Linked DNA regions of Diceros bicornis minor. The protein of the gene in region 4 interacts with the protein of the main gene of each other region in a biochemical or structural test. Links are inferred from orthologs where the notes say so. Each region holds a gene or a part of one and is shown on either strand. Other genes may lie near its edges. The genes, in order: GTF2H3, GTF2E1, SUPT5H and CDK7.

What was found.
Region 1: the proteins of CDK7 (region 4) and GTF2H3 form a complex in vitro, tested with the Homo sapiens proteins (2 studies listed by BioGRID). The link is inferred for Diceros bicornis minor from reciprocal best matches to the Homo sapiens genes CDK7 and GTF2H3.
Region 2: of the proteins of CDK7 (region 4) and GTF2E1, one has a biochemical effect on the other in vitro, tested with the Homo sapiens proteins (3 studies listed by BioGRID, with this or other methods). The link is inferred for Diceros bicornis minor from reciprocal best matches to the Homo sapiens genes CDK7 and GTF2E1.
Region 3: of the proteins of CDK7 (region 4) and SUPT5H, one has a biochemical effect on the other in vitro, tested with the Homo sapiens proteins (2 studies listed by BioGRID, with this or other methods). The link is inferred for Diceros bicornis minor from reciprocal best matches to the Homo sapiens genes CDK7 and SUPT5H.

Annotation. Positions count from the first base shown.
Region 1 is NC_080774.1:6,853,923-6,861,113, forward strand, and holds the start of GTF2H3 (general transcription factor IIH subunit 3), read right to left. Parts: upstream 3,034-7,191; 5' UTR 2,979-3,033; coding exon 2,966-2,978; intron 27-2,965; coding exon 1-26. Other genes in the region: EIF2B1 (translation initiation factor eIF-2B subunit alpha), read left to right, coding at 3,264-3,276, 4,092-4,193, 5,297-5,433, 5,544-5,660. UniProt on the Homo sapiens protein: Component of the general transcription and DNA repair factor IIH (TFIIH) core complex, which is involved in general and transcription-coupled nucleotide excision repair (NER) of damaged DNA and, when complexed to CAK, in RNA transcription by RNA polymerase II.
Region 2 is NC_080754.1:21,984,061-21,991,916, forward strand, and holds the start of GTF2E1 (general transcription factor IIE subunit 1), read left to right. Parts: upstream 1-4,688; 5' UTR 4,689-4,763; intron 4,764-4,788; exon of another isoform or gene 4,789-4,948; intron 4,949-7,856. Other genes in the region: RABL3 (rab-like protein 3), read right to left, coding at 4,432-4,477.
Region 3 is NC_080773.1:13,442,659-13,449,936, forward strand, and holds the start of SUPT5H (transcription elongation factor SPT5), read left to right. Parts: upstream 1-4,134; 5' UTR 4,135-4,222; intron 4,223-4,479; coding exon 4,480-4,554; intron 4,555-7,278. UniProt on the Homo sapiens protein: Component of the DRB sensitivity-inducing factor complex (DSIF complex), which regulates mRNA processing and transcription elongation by RNA polymerase II.
Region 4 is NC_080759.1:8,285,328-8,292,866, forward strand, and holds the start of CDK7 (cyclin-dependent kinase 7), read right to left. Parts: upstream 3,142-7,539; 5' UTR 3,043-3,141; coding exon 2,977-3,042; intron 2,622-2,976; coding exon 2,562-2,621; intron 1-2,561. UniProt on the Homo sapiens protein: Serine/threonine kinase involved in cell cycle control and in RNA polymerase II-mediated RNA transcription. Cyclin-dependent kinases (CDKs) are activated by the binding to a cyclin and mediate the progression through the cell cycle.

The DNA.
Region 1 (7,191 bases), on a different chromosome or scaffold from region 4:
GATAACTAGAAGATTCAATTCATCTTCTGAAAATATTAACAAAAAATAAAAAACATTAGCTTCATGAAAGTGAATTAAAGCTAACATTCCCAATTTCTGAATTAAATCCAAATCAAGCATCACTATACGCCTTTCCATGTTTATCGTCCTACAACCATGAGATTAACAGAAAGCCAAGTTCTTGTAAAGATGTAAAGCTCTGGGGGCCCTTAGCAAGCCCTTGCCTGCTTTCTGCACCACTGCATCCTTCACACACTAGAAGATGAGCCCCACAAGGAGGAATTTTTGTTTGTTTTGTCCCTGCTTACCTCTGCTCCCAGCACACTGCCTAGCCATAGAGGATGCTCAATAAACATACACTAAACAAACTCAAAGACATATGCATTTTAAATGCCTGGTCAAGGACAGAAGGCAGTGATTAACCAGCAGTGAGAATCACTAGTGGTGGAATTTGGGGCATGCGGGGGTAAAAGGGAAACAGGAATCAATGTGGCCTCAAGTCCATCAAATCACCCAGCAGCACAGCCAACTGTGGGTCCAATTAGCAACCAATTTTACAAAGGTGAACACCAAAGAGGGAAAAGCAACTCCTGTGTAAAGGAGAGTTCACTGTGAAAAGGAACTAGGCTGCTCTCCAAAGAGACAGATACAACTAAACAGGCTAACTATACACATTAACTCATTCAACAAAAATTTACACTAAGTATCACTGTTAGGTGTTGGGGATACCGGGTCCAAGCCTTCAAAAAGCCTACATTCTTACTGAGGTGACAGACATACGAACCCATAAGCACACGCTGTTACAAAAAACCCAGGATGTTCATTTAACAGCAAAAAGCAATAATGCCTTTCCTGCCCCCATTACTTCCTTCCTGCAGTTCCCTGTCTCCTGTGTCAGGATAATCCCCACCCATCTTTGATTTCTGCTCACATATCCAAATCCTATTTACTCTTCAAGGCTCCGAACCAATGCTTCCTCTTTCTTCTCCCAAGTTTTCCAACCAGTCCTGGCTCCCCCATCTCAGGACAGCGGGAACGTCAGCCTCCTCTGTATCAGGCACTGGCATATGTCATCCTATAATCCCATTCCATGCTGACAACAACCCATCGAGGGACATATCATTGCTGTCTTTCATCAATTATAACATGTACTCTCTCCTTTTTTTTTTCACATTTAACAGTTGCTGAAATCAGGATGGCATCTGACGATTAAGAGTGGCGGTATTCTTCTCTCAGTGTTATATTAAATAAAAGCATATTTCATAATCAACATAGTCTTAGATTACATGAAATACGGTATTCCTATTGTGCGAATGAAAGTAACTTGCTCTAAGTCACATGGTCTGCTAGCAAGTAGCAAAGCCAGTGGCCTGCTTTGAAGACAGATCTGCTTGACTCGAAAGGTTGTGGCTTTTCATTGCCCCACTGGCTGGTTCTGACCACCCACAGCACTGACCCTCTTCTAATGACACTTATACTCACTACCTCATTTTACAGTTAGTTGTGTTTCTGACCTCTTCCCAACCCTGCCCACTAGACTGTGGACTCCTCAAAGAATGAGGATTTTTGCTAATCCTGGGATGAAATAATACATGTAAATCATACAACAAAGTGCCCAGTACAGAAAAGGCACTTAATAACCGGGTCTCCCACAGGCCCTCACTCCCCCGCCCCTAAGCTCTTAAGCCTTTGGCCTCATTCTCCATCAGGCCCCACCCCACAATTCTCAGGGCCATCCACTCCTTGCTGCTACCAAGAAGCCTGAGAAAAAGACCAAGTGTCGCCTGTGAGAAGGGGTGTGTATCCAGACACACACAATGACCCTGTGAATTTCCTTCTTTGGGTCTCTACCTCCTCTTTGCAGACAGGGGCCATGCCAGGTCTGCCTCCCTCACAGGGCGTTACGGGGATTAAAACAGATAAAAGGAAGCATGGACAACTGTCACAGCCTCCAAAAGGACCTATGTCTATTCTTGCTCCCCACAGTCCATTTTCCACACAGCAGCCAAAGTGACCTTTTAAAATTGTGAATCAGATAGTAACACTTCCTTGCTTAAAACCCTAAAATCCCTTTGTAATACACTTAAAAATAAAGCTCAAGGGCCCGGCACCATGGCCTAGTGGTTCAGTTCGCAGGTTCCACTTCAGCCGCCTGGTTTTGTGGGTCTGGATCCCAGGCGCCGACCTACATCACTCGTCAGCCACGCTGTGGTGGGGTCCCACATATAAAGTAGAGGAAGTTGGCACAGATGTTAGCTCAGGGCTAATCTTCCTCAGAAAAAAAAAAACATTAAAATAAAATAAAGCTCTTTGTCATGGCCCACAAGGGCCGTGCACCTGGCCAGCTCTCCGATCTCATCCCTCTAGCTCACCCTGCTCCTGCCACTCTGGCCTCTTTTTCCTTCCTTTAAGACATCAGCCTCTACAACTGGTAGCATAACGGATGAATTAAAGTCTCTCCACCTTCCCCTACCCCTAGGCTCCCCATTTCTGTCTTCTCAGTATAATGTCGTGGCTCAACTTGCCACAGGACCTTCGCATAGTCATTCAAGTCTTAGTTCCAAGACCACGGTGTCCCCTGCACTCGTATCTCAAGTAGCTCTTCCTTGATCGTCCCCTAAGCACAATCTAATACACTATCCCTTTACTGTCTTCATAGCTCTTGTCACCCTTGGAAATTATTTTTATTTACTTGCCTATTGTCTGTCTCGCGCACTAGACCGTAACCTCCACGAAGGCCCTGTCTGTCACGTTCTCTACTGTATTCTCCAGCGCATAAAATAACGCCTGACACACAGGAGGCGATCCAAAAACATTTAGTGAATGAATGAATGAGTACATTCGCTATTCCTCTAAAGACCAAAGACGTTCCACCCAGCCCAAATATATACTCCATTTGGCCGGTCATGGCCGGTCCGAGTCCGCGTAGCCCTGGGGTCCGGGTCCCCCCTGGCGCTGCCCTCACCGTCTGAGACCATGGCTGCCCGGGTCCGCCAGCGCAGAGCCAGCAGCAGTCCTGCGCCTCTCCCGGAACCTGTGCACTCCGACTTCCGGCGCCGCCGGGTGACGAGCAGGGGATTTGGCCCAGGTCGCGCGCCGTACCCACGGCCCCGCCCCCCCCCCCCAAAGCGCCGGAAGTGGAGAGCGGAACCGCGCCGCGCGTTGTCAGTCCCTGTGGCTCGGACCCCCCCGCGCGGTGGTGGGACCCATCCCGGTGGCGCAGGCGTCTCGGGCCCCTCGGGCTCCGGGGTCCGGAGGGCACCATGGACGACAGGGGTAAATGGGGATGGGACGGGCCTGCTGGGCGCGTCTCCCCGGCTGGGCTCCGGGAGAGCTCGCTTTCCAAGTTCAGGCTGCTCGGTTGGATGTGCTTTCTCTGGTCACAGCTCAGTACCTCTCGCTGCTCCTGTATCCAAGGGTTGGGTCCTGTGGGTATCCCCAGACACCCCCTCTGCCCACGCTTTCCAGTGCCCTTCTCCAAAAAGTGAGATTCGGACGAAATGTGCAGGTCTTCACAGCCTTGATTTCCTCATATGTGAAGTATGAGTAAGACTCCCTGCACTAGTGGATCTGGTACTAGAATCAAAAGGAAAGGGCAGATTTGATGTGCTCATCTGGTAGAGTACTACAAACTAATGTATGTAGTACCTTTCATGTAAAAAAATAAGAGGGGGGTGGCCTTCTCCATACTCATACATGTACGTACGTACGTAGGTGAGTAGGCTTGACTTAGCATATCGACGGGAGGGGTGCTGGAGCAATTGGTAAGGTGGTTGACTCTGGGATTCTCTCAGCACTTGGGGTCGAGAATAAGAAGAGAAGGACCTTTCACTATCATTCGGTAAGGCTTAAATTTTATGCCATTGTATGTACACGGATAGCTTTTTCAAAATGAGAGAGAAAGAGAGTTTGCAAATAGTAGTGTCATCTCTATGCCCACCAACATTTGTGATGCCCGTGAAGCCAAACACCCCGAAAAGAAAGTGTTTTTAAAATTAGTTTTCTTCGTAAGGTCAACAGTCATTGACAAGCTCTCTGGTCTTACATCCTGCTACATGAATTTGATGAATCACTTTTTTCTTTCTTCCCAGAATTAATTGAATACTTTAAGTCTCAAATGAAAGAAGATCCTGACATGGCCTCAGCAGTGGCTGCCATCCGGACTTTGCTGGAGTACTTGAAGAGAGATAAAGGTAAAGAGGGTCGTCCTCAAACACTCTGGGCGTTAGGAAAGTCTTCTAATAACTGTTAGACGTGTAGAAAGTGAGAGATGTATGTGCGGCTACATAAGGTAATCTAGCCCCAAGCTCAGCTTCTTCCTGCATTTCAGTCCTCCCTTTAACCTGGAGAGAGCCCTCAAGGTATCATTAAATGAGTCCCCTTTTATAAATGAAATGTACTTCGAATCAAGAGTGACCATTTTATATCGAGTTAACCATGAAGCTTAAATTAGAGCAGTAGTTCAGCTGTACAAGTGTTTATTGAGCTTCTGACTTGTGCCAGATTCTGTGCAGATGCCACAGAGAACGTTCCAGAATAAATTGTGGTATTAATGTCATTCGTTGTCATTGCCTACTAATTCAAGCATCCTAAATGTAAGCGTCTGGCTATAGCATCACATCTTGTATAAGCAAAATAAAGCCTTCTTTATTCTGAAGGGCTGGCCTAAAGACATATGTCTCTAGGGCAACCTCCAGTGTCTAACCATTGTCCTTACAGTAACACCCAAACACCTAGGCCTCACCTGCCCCGCCTCACAGACCTCCTGTTACTGGGACTTAATTTCCTTCCATGCTGTCTCTCACTGAACTGTGCTTCAGCGGTGCTGGCCTCTCTTTGTTTCTCACACCAAATTTGTTCCCATCTCAAGGCCTTTGCATTGGCGTGGTCTGCGCCTAGAACCTTTCCCACTGGATCTCTGTGCGGCTGGATCCTTTCTTAGGTCTCGGTTTAAATGGCCCCCACTCCAAGAGGCCATCACTGTTAACTGTCTAAAGTAGCTTCTCCTTTCTCATCATTCTGCTTTTCTCCATCCTCATTACAATCTGTAATTAACTTGCTTATTTTTTGTGTGCTTGTTTATCTGCCTCTTCCACTAGAAAGGGAGTGGGGAGACAAGGAGGGAGACGAGGGACCCTGTCAGTCCTGTTCACGGATGTATCTCTGGCGTCTAGAACAGTGCCTGGTGTACAGTATACACGCAATAAAGACTGGTTGAATGAATGAATGAACTGCAGACCCATCAAGGGGCGGTGATACTGAAATCTACGTCACATTCCTCATGTGATCATTCCAGGGGAGACACTCCAGGGCCTGAGGGCGAATCTCACCAGGGCCATAAAAACCCTGTGTGGCGTGGACTCCTCCGTGGCCGTGTCCTCAGGCGGGGAGCTCTTCCTGCGCTTCATCAGCCTTGCCTCCCTGGAAGACTCGGTGAGCCCCCACCCCGCCTTGGGTTACCTTTTTGCTTCTCTGTTTGGCTACAAATATTCTCAGCTTTACCCGGATCTTCCAGTTCGCTTCATTTTGCTCTTTCCTCCTAGGATTACTCCAAATGTAAAGAAACCATGATTGAGCGGGGAGAGCTTTTTCTCAGGAGAATATCACTGTCGAGAAATAAAATTGCAGATCTGTGCCATACTTTCATTAAAGATGGGGCGGTGAGTAGATATTCATCATGTGTGGTAATTGGGAGCAAGGACTTTGGAGGTAGACTCCTGGGGTAAAATCCTGCTTCTGCCACTTACTTGCTGTGTAACCTTGGACAAGTTACTTAACCTCTCTGTGCTGCAGTTTTCTCATCTATTAAATAAGGGTAGTAATAGTACCTACCTCATAGAGGAGTTGTGAGGATTAATGAGATGGTGTGTATAAGGGCTGTGCACCATGCCTGCCACATGGTAAGCACTGTATAAATGTAGGTATTATTATAGATGGTTGTCATTTTAAACAGGCAGAAAAAAACACTGGGACAGCATGGATGATTCTTGATTTGATAAGATGGCTTACTAAATAAGTATTATTATTACTGGATATGTATTAATTAATCTGAATTAAATCAACACAGAGCAGCTCTTGTCACTGGGTGATACCGACTGTCTTCCTGGTGACAGTCAGCACTGGTTTGAGATTTTCTTTTTAACTTCTTTTCAAATGCTGTTACCAAGAGGCAAAGCTGCCAGGTGTTTATGAGTAAAGAAAGACAGGACCTGCAAGTTAAGTCCTTCTCCCTGCCAAAGGGCAATCAAACTTGGGAGGCTCTCCCAGCAGCCTACCTCCTTTCTGCCATCCTAGCCCCCACCAACTGTAAAATGACTGACTTGCATTTTGACTCTGAAATCTTGTCCTCTGTTTTATTACCTCTTCCCAACCTTTGAAGTATGTTATTAAATAAATGACATACTAGATGTGAGTGGAACTTATACAAAAGCCAGTTGCAAACAAAGCCATTTTTAGGCAAGTGGAGGCAAAGACCGCCTCTTGCTGAGGCCGTCTCCTTCCGCAGACTCGCCGTGCTGTCGGTGTTCTGTGGGTTTCAGTTGCTCTGGGGTAGTCTAATGTGCAATCCCCACCCACATGAGCGCTGATTTAGACTGAACTTAGAGCAGAGCTGCTCAAATTGGAACATGCAGATGAACCACCTGGGGATCTTATAAAATGCAGATTCTGGGTTAGCAGGTCTGGGGCGGAGCCTGAGAACCTGCATTTCTAACAAGCTCTCAGGTGAGACCCAGGAAGGAGCTCGAGAGCTGTGTCCATCCATCCTGCATTATGTAGTCCTCTGTACTCTATTCCTTATAGGTTACATGTAAATGTCTGCAAATTGTATCTGGCCCATAGATGGGTTGTTTACCCCGAACAGTATTTATTAATTTTTAAAAAATTAAGTTAGCCAACATTTAAATATTGGATCTTTAGCTCCTCTAGAAAAATCGGATGATCTGGCAACAGTGGACCATGTGGTGACAGCTGGAGCTTAGCCTTTCTACTTTGCTGCTGGCCCCACCCAACCCACTGCATTTACTTATGCTCCCTGCCTGGTGCCTGTAGGCCCAAACCATGTCTTACAAATAGGAAAGACAACCCAAAGAGCCTAATGGAGGAAAGGCTTTGTGTCTTGTGAGTGACACTGTGTGGGGATTCCGCTTCTGTACCTGCTATGGGAAGGGGAGACTCCATGATATATTGCTC
Region 2 (7,856 bases), on a different chromosome or scaffold from region 4:
TCCAGATTGTGCTTGAACACTGTCAGTAACAGGGACTCATATTTCACAATTCCATACTTAAGACACTTGAGTTCTTCCACACAGTGATTTTTAAAAGGGAGCCAACCATTTGGCCCAGACTTACCCTGTGGAAAAAGAGAACAACTCTACTCCCTCCTTCTACAACATGGCCCTTTATCTTAGGGCAGCATTTTATTTTCTTTTAGAGCTCCTGGATTGAGGGCAATCTAGTTATTAATGCTAGGGCTAGCATTCTGAGATCTGTATGAAGAGGAAAGGAAATGAGTTCTCCCTGTACGTCCATGTGTAGTCACTCATTCAATTAACAGCATTTTAAGATACCATCATGACAAGCATGATTGGTGAATCTTGATGCATCACTAGTTGTATCAAAATTTAGACCATCCCTTTGTGTGCATTGTGTGTGTATGCAACTATCACTTACGTTTATTTTTTATTATAAAAAGTTATATTTACAGATAATCTAGAAAGTATTAAAAAAAGGAAAAAATCACCTGAAGAGCACTGTTGTCAACATGTAGGTTTATTTAATTCCATAAGCAGGGTTTTTCTGTAAGCAGGTTGTTACCGTGAATATATACACAGTGTACTTAGCAACAATAAAACATAAGCCTTTGTTTACACAGCTGGTTCTGTTTGGAATATCCTTTCCATCCTCCCCCTCCATTTCCCCTCTGTTGGCCTGGTGAATTATTTTTAAGACTCAGCAACATTCTAGTTATAAAGTCTTTTCTGACTCCACACAGGTAGAACTGAGCACATCATCCACCATCGTCTGGGTCTCCACTGTATCCTGTACATTTTTCTACAGAGCACTTAAACACATTATTGCACTTGTTTGTTTATAGGTTTTATTCACTCTGTTTAAGTTCTCTGAGGACTGGGACTGGGTTTTACTTATCTTTTTATCTCCAGTACTCAGAACATGGCCTTAATTAGTATTTATTTAGTGACTAAAATTTTCCATGTTACTACAGAATCCTCCTAAACATTTTTAATGTTTCCATTGTAGTTCAGAGAGTTGACATGACAATTTACTTAACCACTTCCTCATTATTAGATATTTAGGGTGTTTTGAAATTTTACTATGCTAAGAAAAGATTTCTATTCAATGTTTAAAATTATTTCCTTAGTATACTTTCCCAGAAGTGAAATTAATATGTAAAAGGAAGTGCACATTTAAAGTTCTTGATATATATTGACAGCTTTCATCTGGTTACTCTGCCACCAGACATACACATAGGCCTGCAGGTCTTGTTGTACCTCAACACTATTGTGTAGGTGCTTTTTCATCTTTGTTAATTTGATAAGAGAAAAAAAGGGACATCTCGCTTTAGTCTGCATTTCTCTACCTTCTGGTAAAGATACACATTATGATCATCTTTGCTAATCACTTGTCTTTCTCTCATGAATTATCTATTCATGTGCTCTGCCCATTTATCTACTGGGTTTTAGTGCTATCAGTTTACACAACCTCCTCATATATTAGCGGTCTCCTGTAACTGATGAAACATTTTCCAGGTTTCCCTTTTATTCTTCTTCTTTTTTTACATACAGACATTTAAGATTTTTGTGCACTCAAACTTAGCTTTGTCTTTGTATTTACTGCATTCCATCTGTGACCTTCAGGGCATGCTGTTGATGTTTGTGTTTGCACGCAGGTTTATGTTGGAGACATATATCTAGGCATTTAGTTATCAGCTTGATGCAAGGCTTGAGCTTCTAGTAACGCTTAACTGTGTCAGAGTAAACATCTTTATGCAGTAATACTGTATAGCTCTCCATGAATTAACTTTGGGTGATAACAGTTATCTAACACTGGATGAACTCTCAACAGTAAGAACAACTGAAGTACCAGGAACAATGGCTAACTATTTATTTATTTAAGAATTTTGGGAGGTTCTGATTCTGTGTTTTCACCATTAAAACTAAATTAGATCAAAAGAATGCACTTGGTTTGCTGGGGGGACAAAGGCCCAATATAATGAAATAAATACCAGCTCCAAATATAATTGTTGGTAATGTGTTATGCTCATCTCTTATCTCTGAAAGAACAAAGAGAAAACAGTATTTGCGGATTACTGACACTTTCATGATTCCTAACTAAATTAGCAAATATCTCTATGGGATACAAAAACAAATCTCTAAGTCCCAAGTCATTCCTTTACAAATTTGTGAAATCCTCAAAATTTCATGAGGGAAATAAGCCTTTATTCAAAAGTAAACTTTTAAGTTTGAATACAAAGGCAGATGAAGTGTAAAAAGTATATTCTAACCTGTCAGATAGCAAATCACTGTTAAAAGGGAACTGATAAAAAGACAGTAACTGACTTGGCACATAGCTTAACATCACTGAATGTGTGACGAGATTAATCACTTTTCCTGGTGGGCATGGCTGAGACTTCTGTTTTATAACTAAACTATAATGGGGAAAAAAAAAAAGCTTACTAATTGCCTGATCACTTTTCTACATTTAATGCAGCAGCCAATTCAACTCTGTTATGTAATGCATTGATGTCACAGTTATAACCCCAGCACCTAATACAGTGCCTGCTATGTAATAGGTACTCAAGTATTTTTGGAGGAAAAAAAAGAAAAACCGACTAGTTCCAACAATATGTAACATGGAAGGATCGTTAGATGCAATGGAAAAGGGAATTATAGATGAGTGAGAACACCCACTTCACATATCATAAAGAACCATGTTAGCTCTGGATTCCAGTTCTAAATCCTACTTGATGATACTCTTGCCAAGTCTCTTCAAACTACCACTACTTTCTTCATCCGTAAAACTGAGTAATTTTATTAAATAAACATCACCACTTCAAGCTAAAGAACTGGAATTGACACAAATTGGATTAGGTCAATAGAATTTCCTAATGCAACTTTCTTAAGGGAATATTAAACAATGCTCTCTGTAAAATTTTTCACAATACAAATAGTCTTCAGGCAACGTGAAAACGTTCTTAACCTTCTCCTCTCCCTAACAACTTTGTTCAGTTCTTTAAGGCTAGTTCTCAAGCTCTTTGGGGTATGTCCTCTCCACTTCCAATCATCTGGCACAACGTCTTTGCTCACAGCACACATTCAAAGGTCAACTCCAGAAAAGCAAATCTATGAAATGCACAGCTAGCATTTATTCCAATTTCTTAAGGAGCATAGGAGTGGAGGTTATAGTGAGAAAGAGAAGATAGTGAGGGGGGAGGGAGAAATGCAGACTTCAGTTCTAGTTTTCAAATGTCCAAGGTGTCAAAAGAAGAATTTTAACACTAGGATTAAATTGGGCTTAGCTTCATAATATGGTCTTTATCTTAATTTCTCTATTTCTTACAACTTAGCACATAATGGACTTTCAATTACGATTAAAGAGAACAAAGAAATAAAGAAGCCCAGCTGAGAGTAAAATAGGACTACCACCCAATATCTCATTTCATAATATCGCTTAGTATAAAGTACAGGGACTCTGGGTTCAACTTGGTTCTATCATTTACATCTCTCTGCCTCACTTTTCTCACCTGTAAAATAGGGTAATAGGGCTGATCTCAGGATTAAATGAGTTAATGCATGCAACGCATTTGGAACAGTGTGTAAAAATTGACTACAGTGGAGCCATTAGAGTTGGAGCTGCCTTTCCAGAAAAACTGCTTTGCTGTCTTGAACACTGGACTGGGCCAAACCTTTGGACCGGGCCAAAACTGCAATTGTTTTACAAGCAATTGTTTGAGAAGTCAGCAGGAGAATCGATAACCAGGTAGCAAAGACTGAGGATGTGGACTTTCTGAAGATAGAATCAATAAGCAGTCAATGTTTAGCCAAGACTAGCTCTTTGCCTCCAACTGCAATTAAAACTCTTTGTAATACAACCTCCCTTTGCCTTTAAAAGCCCCTGACTTTTACTCCCTAGCGGAACATGTTTTGGATTTCTATCTGAATCTGTGTCTCTCAAACTGCAATTCTAATTGCCCAAATAAATATCTGAGGCTTAAATTGTAGTGATTTTTACTCGGTTGACAAGTGTCATCCTTCTTAGTGCCCGTTTGACCTCCTTAAGGAACAAAATCTCTTGAGGGCATAGTCCTAACTTCTGTCTCCTTTGCACGACGCCCAATACAGTACTCAGTGTGAGCATATCTTTTAAAACAAAGGAATTGACAATACACGCTAGTCGCCAAGGAGACCAACGTGGAGAGTTTCCAAGGCGGAGAAGGGCCGGGGCTCTAAGCCCCCCACCCACACGGCGCCGCTGCTGCGTCAGAGCAAAGTCCTCTGGGAAGTGTAGTCTTGAGGGTTGAGAGGGCTTTCAGCCACAGGCCGGAGCCAGTTAGTTGGAGGGGAGGGACTAGTGAAGCGGGAAGGTTATCGAATAACTCAAAAGTGCCGGGAGCCCCAGAGTTGGGTTAAACCGCTCACCTGAGTCTCCCAACACCAGTACCTTCACCCGATCCAGGGACGCCATCTTGCCACAACCTTGCCGGAGTTAACGCCTGTTCCGGGATTGTAGGCCAATCAGAGCTGAGTATGGACGGCCGAGCCTTCAATTTCATTGGCCAATCGGAGCGCGACTGTCTTGATTGAAGGCTTCTCTGTGCTGATTGGCCCGCCTGGTTAAGAGTAGCTGTGGTTTCCAAAGCTGGTCGCAGGAATAATGCGTTTTCTTTGTCGCACGGGTGGCGTGGCTCCTTTAAGCCGGTAGTTGAGGCGCTGAGGGAAGCTGTAGTGGGAGTGTTCGAGGATTCGCTTTGGTAAACCTTATTCCCTGTTCCTTGTTCTCGGTTCCCTGACCCGGAGCCGCATTTCAGGGTTTCTCCTTCTCTTCGCTCCTCTCTTCTTAGCTACCTTCCTCCTCTTAGCTCCTCTGTTGACTTGGTCCTCTTGTTGGTCCTCCAAAGAACCATTGACCCCGGAGCGGCCCCGTGTGCGACCTCGGGTAGGACGGCCTTGGCTGCGACGAGCGTGGCCCCCGGACTCAGCTGGCAGAGTCCGAGGGAATCTAGGGCCTCGGGGGCTCGCAGTGGGGAGGAGTGAACATTACTGAACCGGGCTCGTGGAGGGCAGCTGGTCCGGAGGTTTCGCGGTGATAGCCGCTTTATGTAGGAAGGCGTGGAGACTACTATGAAATATGGTAACTGAGAAAACCACAGTTAGATGTATAGAATCCAGGTTCTAGAACTGGAATAGTGGTATACTGAAATAATCTACCTGGGCTCTCCGCATCCACTCCTTTTTCCTTTTATTTTTCACCCTGCAGTCAGCATAATCTTTTAAAATCGCGAATTTGATCCAGTCACCTCCTGCTTAAAACCATTTGAAGTTAATGAAGAGGGTTTCCAATAGCCTATCTCTCTTTTACTCTGGAAGCAGCAGTGGAGGCAGTGAATTGGGGGAAGCTGGCAGGGTGGGCATGTTAGAAGAACACGTGCTTAGGGGATCTGTTGAAAGTTTTATGGAAGTACTTGCCTAGCTGTGCTGGAGGCTGGAAAGTCATTGGTGAACTATTGTAAGCCCCTGGTCTCAGAGATAGACATGGAGAAAAGTACAAGTCTACGCACCTGAAGGAAGAACGGGAAAGAGCTATGGGAACGTGTGGAAGGGAGTCATACTAAGCTACTCGGGAATCTGGAAAGGTCTCTGAGGAAATGTCATTTGAGATATGAAGGATGGCTAGGAGAAGGGAGTTTGGGCTTAGATTTGGGGGCAGAAAGAACAGCATGTGCAAAGGCCTGGAAGTGGGGAAAGCATGTGTGGCTCATAGAATTGCGACAATGCCAGTCTGTCTGGAGGTGAGGTTGACAAGAGTAGACAGTGCAGAGAATGCATTCATTTCAACATTGTTTCTCCAACTCTGTGCCTGGTACACAGTAGTCCTTAAATGTTTTTTTTTTTTTTCTTTTTTTTTTTCCCCCCCAAAGCCCCAGTAGATAGTTGTATGTCATAGCTGCACATCCTTCTAGTTGATGTATGTGGGACGCGGCCTCAGCATGGCCGGAGAAGCGGTGCGTCTGCACGCTCGGGATCCGAACCCAGGCCGCCAGCAGCAGAGCGCGCGCACTTAACCGCTAAGCCACGGGGCCGGCCCTAAATGTTTTTGTGATTAGAATGCATATGGTTCAAAAACAAAACCAACTTGCCTTTGGGGTCTGGGCTGGGTAGGGAGATAGGTGAGGCTGGGAGATGACTGATCATCATCTCCCAAGGGCTAGCCCTGAGAAGTCACACACTCAAAAGTCTCCAGAGGCCAGCCAAGCTCCTTCCCTGTTTAAAACTGTCGACTGCTCTTCAGCTTATTGTTTCCATGTGGTAGCATGGCTTCACGTTTTTCCTCAGATATTTCCAGTTTTCAAGAGGAGCTGAAAGTTGAATTTTATGTTAAATCTCACGATTTTTAAATGTTGACAATGTAATTGTAATTCAGAAAATTTTCAAAACATTCTTTGGGTTAAACAGTGTGGCACAGGATGCCAGTTTGAGACCTCTGACCTAAGTAACTTAAGAAATCCAGAGATTGAGGAGGAGATTCAGCATAAGTGGGGAAGTAGAAGTGGTGGAGGAGAGAACGCAGTGGTCAGGAAGGAGGATTTTAGAACACAGATTTTGAACAAGGTGGCACAGCATGACTTCTTTCCTGAGCTCCAGGTTCATTTGTTCAGCTACCTGCTGGACATCTTCACCAGAATATTCTGTGGTATCTCCTCAAAGACAAGCAACTAAAAGTTGAATACCTCGTTTCTTCCAAACTTGTTCCTCTTCAGGTGTTAACCTATTTCTCATACTAGTACTTTTCTCTTTCTGGATACACTGGCTCAAAGCAAATAGCTACATGTTATTGTTTAATAACATATTAAACTATGTTATTGTTTAATGGGTATAGCATTTCACTTTTACAAGATGAAAAGAGTTACGGAGATGGATGGTGGTGACAGTTGCACAACCTTATGAACGTATTTAATACCATTGAACTGTATACTTAAAAATGGTTAATTGGTAAATGTTATGCGTTTTTTACCATAATAAAAAAATTGTAAAAAAAAAACACCCCTAAATAGCTATTTAAATTTTTCCTACCCTGTTACTCCATTTCCATTATTATTGGGTCCTTTTGATTTTGTTTCGATAATAAGTTTCATTCATCCTGTCCTCTTACAGTTGTGCTCTCCTCCGCAGCTTAGGTTTGGTTGCTATATCTCCTCATACCTCCACAGTGCCTGCATCTTCACTTACTTCAGTCCAGTTTTCATATTGTTGTCAGAGTCACTTTCCTAAATAGGGGGTCTTATTCTGAATGCCAATACATAATGGAACTCTTATATCAGCCTTACATCTGCTTTCAAATCAGAACACTTTACACGAATTATCTTATTTAATCCATCCATCAACTCTATGAAGAAGGTGCTGTTTATCACTTTTTATATATGAGGAAACTGAGACTGAGAATTTTCAAGGGTCCTGGGCTAAGAAATGATGGAACTGGGATTCAAAACTCAAAACAATTGGATTGCGGAGTCCTCATGTCGCTCCCTTGCTCAAATCTTAAGGGCCCCCTAAGGTGTTTCAGGCAAAGGAAACAGGCTGAATGATAAGTGGCACCGGGTCCTCCCCATGCGGGATGTGCATTGCCAGTATATGTAATAGCCAGGCACCAGATTTGTCTGGAGCAGTGGTCAGGGACTTTTTCTGTGTATTAGAGATACCCAAAGAACTTTTAAAATAAGATAATTGCTTGATCTGGCCCTCCCAGCCCAGCTGAAAGAGAATCTCTGGGATTGGGGCCCAGGGTGGATATTTTTAAATGCCCTGCAGATGATTCTGCTTTACAGCCAGGGATGAGAATTATTGGT
Region 3 (7,278 bases), on a different chromosome or scaffold from region 4:
GAGCACCCAGAGGCTGACTTGGAGGGACAGACAGACAGATACACAGCACAGGAGAGAGACAGGCACACATGGAGGAGAAAGGAAGATGGAACAGACGGTGAAGAGGAGAAAGAAAATAGACAACAGGTCAGTCAGAGATGGACCCAGAAAATACAAGTGACAGATTCAGAGGCAGAGAGGCCAACTCTCAGAGAAAGACGACAGACAGGTACAGGCCGGCATGGAGATTTTGAGACACTTGAGACAGAAATAGAAGTAGAAAAGAGAGCAGAGCCCCCCCCCCCCCCAATGTACCTGCAGACATGGATGAGGCCCAGCACAGGCATTTTCCAATGAGAAGACAGGCCACAGAATGCACACACTCACACACTCTGTACTGCCTTACAGGCCTGTTTGGGGGACAGGGGAGGCTTCCAAACTCTCCAGTCTTTCTGGGCTGATCCTCACACCCTTACTAAATCTTGTATCTTCCCTGGGGAGGAAGGGGGTCAGGGAGCCCTCTGACTCCCTCCCTCCCCACTCTAGCATCACCATCTTCTCTGGCATTTTGGAGAACATTCCCTGAGTGTCTATGGATTGAGTGGAGCTGGAACTGGGGGGTTCATGGACAGGGGCACTTCCCTTCATCCACTACAGTCTTCCAACTTGCTCCATCTCTCTGTACCTCTTGCTTCCAGGACGCTGGCCCAGGACCAGAGAAAGCCTGGGGATGGGCAGGGTGTCCATATGGCCTCTCTGGACCATCCTCCTGCTGATGTGGCCTTTGGGGGGCCTAGGACCACCCCTCTGCCCTCGGGAGCCCTTCTACTTCCTCGTTGCCCTCATGAAGATGCTGGTGAGGAAGGGGGAGGGGGGAGCCAGCAGATACAGCAGGGAGATGGTGGGGTGGGGGACATGTTTGAGGAGGGGTCAGGCTCTCCCCCTCCAAGATCTGATTCTCCTGCCTACCCCAAAATTGTAGGGAAACAAAAATGATGGCACTCTCTACACCCCAGATGATTTCTCGGTGAGTATTTCATTAGCTCCTTACTGAAGTTGGAAGTTTAGAGAATCCACTAGGCTTGAAACACACATATGTTGAGGGCTGGTGTTCTGGCAGTACAGCCCCTGACCCAGCCTCCAGTCTTGACAAATATATTTTGTGCCCTGCTGTTTCCAACACCTAGAACAGTGACTGGCTCGTAATAACAGCAAATGATGATGATGGTGATTATAGCTACACTTAAAATAGCACTTGCTCTGTGCCAGGTACTGGTCTAAACACTTTAAGTATATTAGCTTATTTACTCTTCACACTGACCCTATGAGGTAGACAGGGCCTCCGTGTATGGATGTGAAGGTTGTACCCTGCACAAGGATCCCACATGTACAATATTCACATCCCAGACATATTTGTCAATTTCTGGCAGATGACAGTAAATTATCTTGTTCTAACAAAATCAGCTCTTAGAAGTGCTTTAAGGGGCTGGCCCGGTGGTGCAAGCGGTTAGGTGTGCGCGCTCTGCTGCAGTGACCCAGGGTTTGCCGGTTCGGATCCCAGGCGCGCACCGATGCACCGCTTGTCAGGGCATGCTGTGGCGGCATCCCATATAAAGTAGAGGAAGATGGGCACAGATGTTAGCCCAGGGCCAGTCTTCCTCAGTAAAAAAGAGGAGGCTTGGCATCGGATGTTAGCTCAGGGCTGGTCTTCCTCACACACAAAAAAAAGGAATAACTTAAAAAAAAAAAGTGCTTTAAAGGAGTGTCTTTTTCTAATTTACACAGGTACAGTACAAGCTAACGTCAGCCCTAAAGGTAGGGAGTATTCAGAGCTCCATTTTACAGATGAGGAAACTGAGGCCTAAAGAGGTGAAGGGGCTTGTCCCAGGCCACAAGTTAGAAACTCTGGCGGTGGGGAGTGGGGATCAGGCCCTTGCCCACCAGATCACTCTGTCCCCCTAGGTGTGTCCTGCGGAGACTCTAGGCTGCTTCCGGCTGGAGCTGTCTGTTATAGGGTTGGAGGAGGGCCCATCTGTGGGGACTGCTGTGTTCCGGCTACAGCGTCTGCTGGATGCCCTGGGGTCCCGGATGTGGGGGACTGGCCAGGGCCCTTGCCCACCCTGCGAAGGACATCCCCAGAGACCTGTCCCTCTCTTTCTGGCCAAACTCTTGGAGTTATTACAGGGGGCTTGTGCTCAGCGCCTGCCCTCAACATGAGCTTGGAGGACACAGGCTCCCTGGTGCTCCTGGAGAGGCTGGGTAGAGAGAGGGAGAGACTTGGTCTCCAGCCCTACCTCCCAAACCCTAAGCCCTCTCCTTCTAGGACAGATGATGCCCCCCCTGGAGCCCGAGGAGCCAAGGGGAAGAGGAGAGAAGGAAGAAAATAAGGTGAGATCCAAAGCCTGAAGTCTCTGACCTCTTGGGGCAGGGGGGGTTGGATAAATTGGCACCCACCTGTCTCTATTTTCCCTCTCTTTCAGATACTCCCTTCTCTCTCCTCTTCCAGGAAGGAACAGAGCATTGCACAGGTGTCTCCTAACCTCATCCCCACCACTTGAGGACAGGGAGAGTCTTGTGGCTCACATCCCTCACCGCAAATAATTACCACCTGGAGAACTTTCACGTGATACTGATGGTCAGGCCCCCACTCAGAGAATTTGATAACTGGTCTCTGGTGGATCTTGAACATCTATATTTTTAAAGTCAACTTTATTGAGGTATAATTTACATACAGTAAAAGCCATCCGTTTTAAGTGTACATTTCAATGAGTTCTGACAAACATATACGCATTGCCACATTTCCATCAAAAATTCCACAATTCCCCCAAGCATTCCCTCATGCCCCTTCCCAGTCTCCGCCTCTAGTCCTAGACACCCGCTAATCTGCTTTCTGTCTGTAATAGATTAGTTTTGCTTCCTCCAGAGTTTCATATGAATGGAATCATACGGTACATATCCTAGTGTCTGGCTTCTTTCACTCAGCGTGGTTTTTTTGTGGTTCATTCATGCGTGTACCAGTAGTCTGTTACTCTTCGGTTGTATGGATGTACCCCAACTTGTGTCTGCATTCTCCTCATGGTGGACATTGGGTTGTTTCCAGTTTGCGGCCATTATGCATCTCTCTCATCTTATCTTCTCAAGTGTTCTTCTGTGGTGCCAGGGTTGAGAGTTGAGAACCACTGATACATCAAAGAAGAACTTTCTATGGGGGCACTATTACCCTTCCCTCTCTTTTCTGGAGTAAATGTCTTTCTGGAGCAGTGTCATAATAGGCATTTGATATGTGGAATCTTATTTTAAAGAGCTGCTGTTTAAAGGAACCAAGCTTATGGAAGGAGACACGTCTCTATGGAGTGCTCAGCCCCTCCCCAGTCTGTCTTGGATTCAATTTAGGATTGTTGATCCCGGAGTGTGTGCTTATGCAGAGATGCACCTGGGGTATACTTACCCCCTGGTAGCTGTCTTGTGAGCCTGCTGCCGACCCAACCGCAACATACCCCTGTAACTAACTAGGTGCATATTAAATGTCTGTAAATTGAATCCAGGTGTCTCACTGCTTATGCGAGAAATTTTAGCAGTGTGTTGTAAAAGCTTCTGATTTTTTTTTTCCTTCATCAGGTTAATTTTTCATCTCTCTTCCTCTTGCCTCGTCCTCTTTGGCACCTCTCTGACAAATAATTACTAATACATAAATCCACATTTAAATCAACTTAGACTGTAAAGGAAAACAAGGGCTTTGGGGTCACCCAGACTTGGAGAGGAGTCATGGGTCTGCCGCTTTCCAGTTTATTTTTCAGAGGTTCGGTTTCCTCGGTTGCAGCATGGGGGTACTTCCCTCCTAGGAATGCTTTAGAGGGTCCGTGAGATAAAGTCTGATTGGTTTGCTAATTTATTATTATTATTATTTGCTAATTCCCTGCCTGCTCACGGCTTGGCACATGGCGTTAGTGATCTGGACTAAACTCAAGCACGAATTCCTGGCTGGAAAAGGCCGGGTGCGAGCGGGGAATAACGCTGCGCGCGTTGACCCTCTCAAGATGTCGGCTCCACGCCCTGCATTAAGACAGCTCTGCCACTCTCAAGATGGCGTCCTGGAAGTGCGTCGCCGGGGTCGAGTCCCGGAAATCTCGCGTTAGGCGAGGCCAAGGGGTAGGTTCTCGCGAGAGGGCACGTCAGTCCCAACTAGGCGTCGTGTGAACAGCAGCTGCTGCCGAGGGCGGAGGTGGTGCCGGAGCGGTGAGGGGTGGGTCGCACGCCGTGGTGGCAGGCCTGGGGGTGGCCGGGGGCCGGGGAGGCGTAGAAGCCAGATTCGGGGACTCGGGAGGTGTAGCAGGTGGCGTAGGGGGCCCCGTTTCGCGTTCACAGTTGACGGAACGAGGCTGCCGGAAGTGCGCTGAGGGGTTTTTCTTCTCCCCGGGACCCGGCGGGGAAACTGAGGCTCGGGGTGGGGCTCGGGACTGGGGGACGCGCTGAGGCCGCCGTCTTTTCCCGCAAGAGCAGATGTCGGACAGCGAGGACAGCAACTTCTCCGAGGAGGAGGACAGCGAGCGCAGCAGTGACGGCGAGGAGGCCGAGGTCTGTGGCTGGCACGCCGGAGGAGGCCCTGCGCCCGGGGACAGCACCGGGGCAGAAAGGCCCCGGGGGCAGCTCGGAGGGGCTCCGAACGAGCTCTGGCCTCTGGGAGCTTCCAGGTTGTCGGGGGCGAGAAAGTAGGGAAACCCAAGTCAAGCAGAGGCACAGGTGCTGGAGGCCAGGGATGCTCCGGGACGTGGGATGACAGGCGGTGTGTTTAAAGGGCCGGACGTATAGTAAGTGCTCACTCTTAGTTTTTATATTCAGGAACGCTCAGTCCTTCTAGGAATGTATTTTTAGCGCCTACTATGTGCTAGGCACAATTCTGGGCCCTTGGGCTATTCCAGTAAACAAAACAGTTGAAAAATCTCTGCCCTCGTGCATGTAAATAAACATAGCTGATGAGTAAGTCATTCGGTAAGCTGGCAGTTACTATGGAGGAGAGGGGAGAAGAGGAATAGGGAGGCCTGCCTACACTTTAAATAGCGTGATCAGAGCGAGTCTGGGCGGCCATGTTTGAAAAAAAGATCATTGGAGGTGAGGGAGGGAGCCATGGCCTATGGAAGAAGGGTGTCCCAGTCGGGGGACCAGCAGGTGTAAAGTTGGGAGCATGTCTGCAGGGTTCAGGCGGTAACAAGGGGTCCAGTTTGGCTGGATCAAAGTGAGTGCAACAGAGAAGTAACTGGAGACGGAGCATATGTTGAGGGGCACGGTGTGGAATTGGTCTTTGACTGAGTGAGACGCATTCGTGAGAAGGTGTTGAGCAAAGAAGGGATGTGATCTAATGTTTTGAAAGGCTCTCTGTGGCTTTGGGTCTGTTGAATGTCACTGTTTCAGGAACCAAATAACAAACGTGTCCTGGGGCATATCTGGTTTCCCATATTCTTTTGTTAACTATTAATATCTTTTATTTATTTCTGACTTGTTTGTTGAGCGAATAAATGTTCGCGCATCTACTGCGGTCTTCCAGATACTTCCTAGGTGTTGGAGAGAATGGAGCAAGGCAAATCTTTGCTTTCATGGAGTTTACATTTGGTAGACAGCAGTTACAAACCAATAAAGAGAGGACACGATGATTATAGATGTCTTCTTTGATCTCCATAAACATGTTTTTGTGTGTGTGAGGAAGATCAGCCCTGAGCTAACATCTGATGCCAATCCTCCTCTTTTTGCTGAGGAAGACTGGCCCTGGGCTACCATCTGTGCCCATCCTCCTCTACGTTATATGGGACGCCGCCACAGCATGGCCTGAGGAGCCGTGTGTCGGTGCACGCCCAGGATCCGAACCCTCACCCTCAGGCTGCCGAAGTGGAGCGCACACACCGAACCGCCGGGCCACCGGACCAGCCCCTGAACATATTTTTTAAGTTAGTTGCCAACACTTGTAAGGGCAATTTCGTGTAAAAAATCAAGAATCCCTGCTTTTCTGGGAAAATGGGAGGAGCCAGCAACCTGAGACCCAGGATTGTTCTACACAGCAGCTCTTTGCTCAAAAAGTGGCAGCCCTCTTTAGAACTGGGAATTTTCTCCATTTCCCAGGATATATCAATGGCCATTTCTCATCATGCCTGCCTAGTGGCAGATTTAAGAAAAGGAAAGATTTAGGGGCCGGCCCTGTGGCGTAGCAGTTAAGTGCGCGCACTCTGCTGCTGGCGGCCCGGGGTTCGGATCCCAGGCGCACACCGACACACGGCTTGTCAGCTGTGGTGGCATCCCACATAAAGTGAAGGAAGATGGGCACGGATGTTAGCCCAGGGCCAGTCTTCCTCAGCAAACAGAGGAGGATTGGCATGGATGTTAGCTCAGGGCTGATCTTCCTCACAAAAAAAAAAAAAAAAAAAGAAAACGAAAGAGTTCACATACCTGTGTCCTGGGAAACATCAGGTAGACGGCGAGTGCTGTGGGTTTCTCCTGAGCTGCCGCACTTATTTAGGTTGCCTGCTTGCCCTCTGTGGGCATTTGATTGTCAATCCTTGTTGTGCCCTTTGGGGCGTTCTCAGCTTCCAGTGAAGAGTTGGAGGAATTGGGGTGTTGTGGCGGGGAGTGGGGGGAAGTGGGAGGATGCCAGGAAGGGCCTTTGCTCTGAGCTGTAGCGCTGGGTCCTTGGTTTCTGACTCATGGCTTCAAGACACTGCTTGTGGTTAAAGCCTGGTGGTAATGAGACCAGGATCCCCGGTTCCTTTTCCTGGCTGGGGCAATCTGGTTCGCACTGTGTAAGTCTCACTTCCCCAACACCACACCAGGCTCTTGACTTACCTGCTAGCTCATCTGCTGTCAGCGTGTGAGGCAGAGGGGCAGTGTGAGGCCTGCCCTCACTGCCAGAGATAGAACTGGATGGTCTTTTCAGACAGCCTCCTTGAAGGACCGGGTCCTGTGGTAGACAGACAGGGATGACAAATTATGAGCCACTGTTGGGGGAATCGGCTGACTCACCATTCTCAGCCCCAGTAACTTGCTCACTCATTCATTCAACAAGTATTTTTGAGTTCCTGTCGTGTTGGGTTCACAGCCTCCCTCATGGAGCTCTCTGTCCTGGGGTGGAGGTGGTTTTATAAATAGATGGTTCCTTCAGGGGCTGCTGAGAATGGATGATGTAAGAGCGCGTTCAAATCCTGAGATAACAGAGAGATAGTAGTGGGAGCTCTGTCCTCAGGGAGTGAGGAGCCAGATTTGGAAAGAAGGCTTTGCTGGGACTGAGCCAGGGGGATGATGACAAGGTTTCTAGAA
Region 4 (7,539 bases):
AAGATGGTGAGAATGTGACAGGAGGTTAAATCGGTCCAACCACTTTGGAGAGCAATCTGACAATATCTGGTGAGGTTGATGCTGTGTATTCTCTAGGTAGCAGTAATTCATAATTGGTCTCAACCATAGATACACTTTCTAGAGAAACTCACACACGCATAGGAACGTCTGTAGAAGGGCTGTATTAAGGGAAAACTTTGAAGAAAACAGTTTGTCTATCCAACAAGAGTTTGGATAGACAAATTTTAGTGTAGTCATATAACAGAATCTAATCATCAGTGAGCATGACTAAACCAGATCTACATGTATCGATGTGCAAGATTTCAGAAATAATGTTGATTCAGAAAAACAAGATGCAGAAAAATATTTTATACATTTATATTTGAAGTTTAAAAGTATGCAATACTATATATTGTTGAGATACATATATTTGAGACAAATATTGAAAAATGAGAAACGCTCCAAAAGGCCAGCAATAGGGGATTGGTTAAATAAACTTTTACAAAACATAAATTCAATATGATCTGTTTGAAAGGATAAGGTAGATCAATGCTATTTTAAAAGCAAGATGCAATAGGTGAAAGAACACAGAATAGCTTATTATTCCTTTTTGGTAAAATTACACATAAATGTTAGTAAATGAACGGGAGCAGAAATTATGAGAGTTGGGAGCAGAAGGTCCACAAGCACCAAATCCTCAATGTTTATAGTAGGAAACAGATAATGTCTAAAACGAGGGGACAGGGGGCATGAGGGGTGGGAACCACTCAAGAAATAACGATACAAGCATATTACTTAAAGAAATAGAGGTAAATACCACATTAAACAGTTATAGGAATTGAAAGTCATTGCTCCAAGGACTGAAAAACAGGAGTAGAAGAGTCAGGCATGTTAAAAAGCCTTGGCCTCTTAACTGACTTTTAAAACCACAAAGATGTATTATTTGAAATAAAAATTAAACGTAAAAGAAGATTCCACCATGAGTCACCTTCAAAGTGTAAAAGTCTATCACAGAGAAACAGGATGGATTCTAAATCCTAATTAATATTAAAAGCAAGCAAACAAAAAAACCTACTAGGACTTTCAAACAACTACAGAAAATGTGCCAACAGCTTGAAAAGATTGTATCAGTCAGTCAAGTAAATATATTTTTAATGAGTGTCTATAAATGTACAGTCCTAAGTAAATAGACAATAAACTCATAGATAAGATTTAAGATTTTGATAAATGCTATGAAGATAACAGAGAAATATGGCATAGAACACTAGGGAAGGAGGGAGGCACACCTGTTTTAGCTAGAGCCACCAGCGAAGGCCTCTCTGTGGGGGAGACATTTGAGTGAAACCTAAATGATAAAGGAATCAGCCATGCCACGTTTTAGAGGAAAAATATGCTAACCACAAAGCAAGGCAAATGCAGTGATCCTGGGACTGGAATGAAGTTAATGAGCTCAAGGGACAGAAAGGTCAATGCGACTAGAATATAGTGAACCGGGGGTAGAGTCGAAAAGGTAACTTTAGAAAGGGTCAGGAGAGTTAAGCGTTGCACAAGGGAGTAGCTATAGTAGCTATAGCACTGGATTATAGAACATAAGCTGGAAAACAACGCCATGAAAGAAGTTAGAGAAAGTGAAAAAACAATGTCAGGAATAATTGTGGAGACGAAGAGAAGGAGCCAGGTGTTAACTGAATGAGGGCAATATGCTTCAAAGGACGTAGGGAATCTGAAGGAGAAACAGATTCAAAGCAGCAACAGGAACAATAGGAAGGTGGAGGTTACCTACCCCACCAACAGACCTTGAGATGTGAGAAAAACAGCCTCTTCTTGAAAGGGTTATTGATTTCAAGAGTATGCGGAAACAGCAAGCAACCTGGCAGCAGGACACCTGGATTTAAAGCCCAGCTTTAGCAATTACTACCTGTGTCATCTTGACAAGTCACCTAATCTCTCTAGCCTCAGGTACCTCGACTATAAAACAGGGATATTTATTTTACCTACTTCACAAGGTTGTTTTGGGGATTAAATGAAAAAATGTAAGTGAAAGTGCTTGGCATATAGAAAGTTAGCTAAATATGACCGAAGTTTCTTGAATGAATGCAAGTAAGAAAGCTCCTTAAATCATTTTTAAAAACGCAGCACATCAATGGTGTTAATGCTGGTGAAAGCCTTTCATGGTAAATCTTTACACAGAAAATACAGATATGATACACACCGTGGATGCAGGTGAGGCAGAAATAGTGACCTGGAAAGATCATATTAAATAGCTCTGAGGACCCAACAGATAGGCAGTACTCGTCCCCTTTGCCAACATCTGAGTTTACAGAGCGATCATAACTTATAGCTTCCTCTTCTTTTCAATTACAATTATTGGAACAAAAACTAGTTCAACCCGAGTTCCACCTTGGAACATAAGAGGCTAATAAATTCTATTTTCTCTGAAAGTGACATGGTAACTCCTCATTAGCAGAGCACGGTGAAGAGCAGTAAAACGGCCATCCATCAGCTCACACATACAGACGTCTTCAAAAAGACTCAAGGAAAACAACACACTGTAAACTCACTTTCTTAATGGCGACAATTTGGTTGGTGTTCTTGTCTCTGGCCTTATAAACCGTGGCAAACTAGAGAGAAAAACAGGAATAACGTTAAGTCTGCGGGAGTTTTTCTGTTTGTGGTTGCCTTTTTACTTTTTTAGATTTGGGCGAAGCAAAGAACCAGGGTTCTCGGAGCCGACTCGCGGCGGCCTGAAACGTGGTGGGGCAGTCCACGTCCCGTTCCAGCCTGCTCTGCGGAAAGGAGGGGGCCGCTCAGGGGCTCACCTGCGGGCGTACCGCGGGGCGGCAGGGGGCCTGGGCAGCCTCGCCCAAAGGGAACGAGCAGCCAGGCCAGTCCTCTGGCTTCCACTTCAGCCTGCCAGCGTGAGGCGGCTCGGCGCTCTCTGCTCAGGGCCCTCCGAATCCCGCCCCAGAGTCTCACCTGTCCCTCCCCGAGGAAGTCCAGTTTTTCATAACGCTTTGCTCGCGACTTCACGTCCACAGCCATCCGTCGCGCGAAGCCGACTCCAGCTGAAAGGGCCGAGTTCTGAACACAGCAGGAATTTAAAGCTACCTTTAATCCCCCAACAGCCACTTCCGTTCACTGGTTCCGACGCTTTATTAGCTCCGCCCCCACATCCGGGATGGGCGTGAGTGACATTAAATAAGTCCAGCCAGAGCCCGCCCTACGGAGGCTGTGCGAGGCCGGGCTCGCTGGTTTGCTGCTATGCGCCCCGCGCTGTCACGTGGTTGCCTGTTGGTGCCGGAAGCGGCGTGTTTTCGGCGATGGATGTCTGTGTCGCCCTGTTACCGCTGTAACTTAGACATTTTCTTCACGACTGGGGACGGGTCACCGTTCTAATACGATGTTCTGAGTTCGGGCTTTAATAGGTGTGTATGAGTGTGGAAAGCTTGGCCTTGTCCCTGATCTCGCTTTCTAGTTGTTGCTCGAGGGCGTCCTGTCGCCACGGTTACTAAGAACGCTTAGCCCCGCAATGTCAGATTATTTAGAGGAGTGCCCAGTTCTTAAGGGCTGGTCAAGAGGCATTCTTAGCCCACTCCCTTTATGAAGAAGCACACCCAGGGAAACAAAATCCAAGTCAGCTCAAGAATTTTGTGCTTTGAAACACACCATATGGTCTTCAGTTTTCTACTCTGTAAAATGAAAATAATAATAGACTACATCATAGGTGGTTGTGAGGATTAAATGAGACATGCAGAAAGTTTAGACAGAGTAAGTGCTCAATTAAATGTTAACTGGTGATCAGTACCCAACTTTGTCATAAATTTTCATACAAATCAAAATTTAAACACATTAATTCATTTATTCAATGAATATATATTGTTTACTGTGTGCCAGGCTCTGTTGTAGACTCTGAGAAGTCAGCGGGCCAAAAGACAAAGATCCCTGACTTCCAATGAGAGGAGAAAACAAACAAGTAAAATATGTGTTGATACATAGTGATAAGTGCTATAGACATAATAAAGCCGGGAAAGGGCATAGAGATAGTAGGGTTTGCAGTTTTAAACAGGGTGGTACAAGAAAGATATCACTGAAAAGCCACTGCAGAGTTTTGAGCAGACAAGTGATATGATCTGACTCAATGTTTTAAAAGGTTCACTCTGACTGTTGTGAGAGACTAAACTATAGACTTAGAAGGGCAAGGAAAAACAAGAAGGCCTGTTAGAGAATTATTGTAATAATCCAGTTGGCTATATTAAGTGCTACATGTTTGGCTTCTAGCCAATAGGATTTGCTAACAGTCTGGATATGGGTTGTTGGGAAGAAACAGGATAATTCCAAGGTTTTGAGCTCTGGAGCATTTGATGTTTCTAAGAATTGAGAATCCTGATTTTCAGAGGTATGTTGGGAAGGCATCGGAATACCAAGACACAATTTGATCAAGGTAATAGAGTAAAGGTTGAGTCCTTGCTCTGGATCTAGATACTTGCATTTGAATACTGGCCTTACAAATATTTAATCACTAGATGTGTAACTTGGGCAAATTATTTAACCTTGCTGTTCCTAGTTTCCTCCTAATAGGAACTACTCATAGTGTTGCTGCAAGGCTTAAATGACCTCACACTTCAAAAAACCCTTAGAATAGTGTCTGACAGTGCTCATTTTATGTTAGCCATTACATAACTACTATTGCTTATCTTCCAGCTCTTTGTCACTACTTGGGTCTTTATTGAGCTCTAATATGTTCATGGGAAAAATTCTCATACATTGCAGAAAACACACCATCTTTTACCACTTATATCTCTTAACTGTGGCAAGTCATACCTAATGATACATGGTGTCACATGACTTGGGTCAAAGTTCCTTCTGAAAGACATCACTGTAACAGTAATCTAACCTCACTTGTAGTAGAAATAAGCTAAACAATGAGCTAAATTTGATGGTACACCTGTGAGGCTTGAGGTTCCCAAGTGTGCCATGCCATATGAATTGATAATCACTCCATTATACCATGCTGCTGACAAGTAAATTCCTGTTTGGGGACATTTTAAATAGGGTAACAAAGGCAGTGTTTAGGTGATATTCTGGGTTCATTAGATCATTGTATATATAAAATACCATCCAGCATCTGTATAGCATTTTACAGTTTACAAAGCACTTTCACACATTGGTAGTAGCCAGCTTCCAAGATGGCCCCAGTGATTCTTGCTTTCTGGTATTAATGCACTTGTGTAGTCTCCTCCCACAACAAAACAGGCTGTTCTGTGTGACCAATCAAATATGGCAGAAGACAGTGTCTGCAGCTTCTGAGTCTAGACCATAAATGGCATTGCTGCTTCTGCCTTGCATGCTTAGATCATTTGCTCTGGGGAGAAGTCAGCCCATCATGTCATGAATTAACTCAGACAGCCCTGTGGAGAGGAACTGAGGCCTCCTACCAACAGCCAGCATCAACCTGCCAGCCACGTGAGTGAGCGACCTTGGAGGTAGATCGTCCAGCCCCAGTCAAGCCTTTAGATAACTGCAGCCCCAGTTGGCATCTGATTGCAACCTCATGAGAGACACTGAACAGAACTGTGTCTGCCTGAATTCCTGACCCAGAGAAACCATGAGCTATTAATTGATTATTGTTGTTTGTAGTCACTAAGCTTGGGGGTGATTTGTTACAAAGTAATGGGCAATACACTAATTTGGTCCTGCCTGTCACACTGTATAGTACCGGAGAGGAAAACTGAAACTTGGACAAATTAAGCAATTTGCTAATGGTTACATATATTTAAGTGCTTAACCTCTAAATGAAAATACAGGCTATTTACTCTAAGCCTAGCCAGAATTCTTTCTATGACACCATCCTCCTTGGGAACTCATCCTGTGACAGCAATTCCCTCTGACATGCCTTTTTGCCATACCTGTACTCACAAATTCTGTAAAAGTGATATATTTTTTCTTTGTGACTTTCATGGCAGCAGCTGTAGTAAGGTGCCCTGCAAGCAGTTCCAGTATTGGGCTTTCTAACTGCTGGCCCATAGTATTGCTCAAGCCAGTCGTTTTTTTGGGGGGGGAGAAAGGTCAGCCCTGAGGTAACATCCATGCCAATCCTCCTCTTTTTGCTGAGGAAGACTGGCCCTGGGCTAACATCTGTGCCCATCTTCCTCTACTTTATATGGGATGCCGCCACAGCATGGCCTGACAAGCGGTGCATCGGTGTGCACCCGGGATCCAAACCCGGGCGGCCTGCAGCAGAGTGCGCGCATTTAACCACTAAGCCATGGGCTGGCCCCTCAAGCTAGTCTTAATTACTTGAACCCACTCTGTTTCTGAAAGCAAAAAAAATGTCCTAGGCTTCTTTTTACTGAAATGAGAAAGCTAAGAGAAAAATGAGAATAGTGCTAGTTTTTAAGAAAATTTCCCAAATAAATTTCTTAAAAAACAAAATCATAAATCATGTATTTTTCATGAGTCACCAGAACAGCTTATTGCCGGCACCAAACCCCTACCTCATATTCAAGTTTGCCAATGCTTATACTAGGCCAGAAAAAAGAATTTAGAAGAGAAGATCAACTCTAAAATAGTAAAAACAAAAACAAAAACAAAAACACAGTAAACATTAACCCATAGGGAACTGGGCAAATGTAGAAACGTACTTGACAACAGTTCTACTCTGTCTATTGCTCATGATCTACTCTTATTTTTAGGGATGACTTCTTTAAAGCATATTTTAGAAATCATTAAAGGTGTGGAAGAGAATTTATTGAGCTTTGTTAGGCTTTACTTTGACAATAATACATACCTTTGGCACAGGAAGACTCTATTAATAAAGTTTCATAAATTGCCTTAATAAGGTAAATATTTAGGTTGATTTTATGAGGCTTTCAGACAGTAAATTTGAGAAAATTAATGGTTATCAGGATTTGCACACATGATCTCAATCAAAAAGTAAAATAAACCAAAGAACAAGACTATCTTAACACTCTTCAAAACATAATAAATTGCAATTTCTACTCAAACATTTATTCCTATGCTATATTCACTTGATTTCTTAATTTATTTTCCATTTTCCATTGACATTTGTTTCTGAATATAGGTTACAAATAATCTTTGTGTTAACACCCCAGTCTTATTACCACAAAGCCACTTGTTTTACTTTGCCTATATTTGTATCATTTACAGTAGGATACGCTTATTAAGCCAATTATACTGCAGTAAATTTGTGAATGAAAAACGTTAAGAGAATTAAGAGCAAATAATGGAGTCATTATTTCACTGATCCTCCTCCAATTTCGGGAAAAGCACTTCCCGAAAGCAGCAATTTTGCCTGATAAATTCTTTCCATATCTAAACAGAAACTGAAAGAAAAGTGAAATTATGGGAAACCTGTGATAGTTTACGAGAGATTGTGTGCTTTTAATAGTTCAACACTGGTAATACTTGATAATCAAGAGTAAATTAATAGGCTAACATTTAAAAATGTATACTTTAATAAGTATAAAGTATATAAACCATTAGGTAAGCTTGTGGAGAAGCTGACCAAGATACATAAAT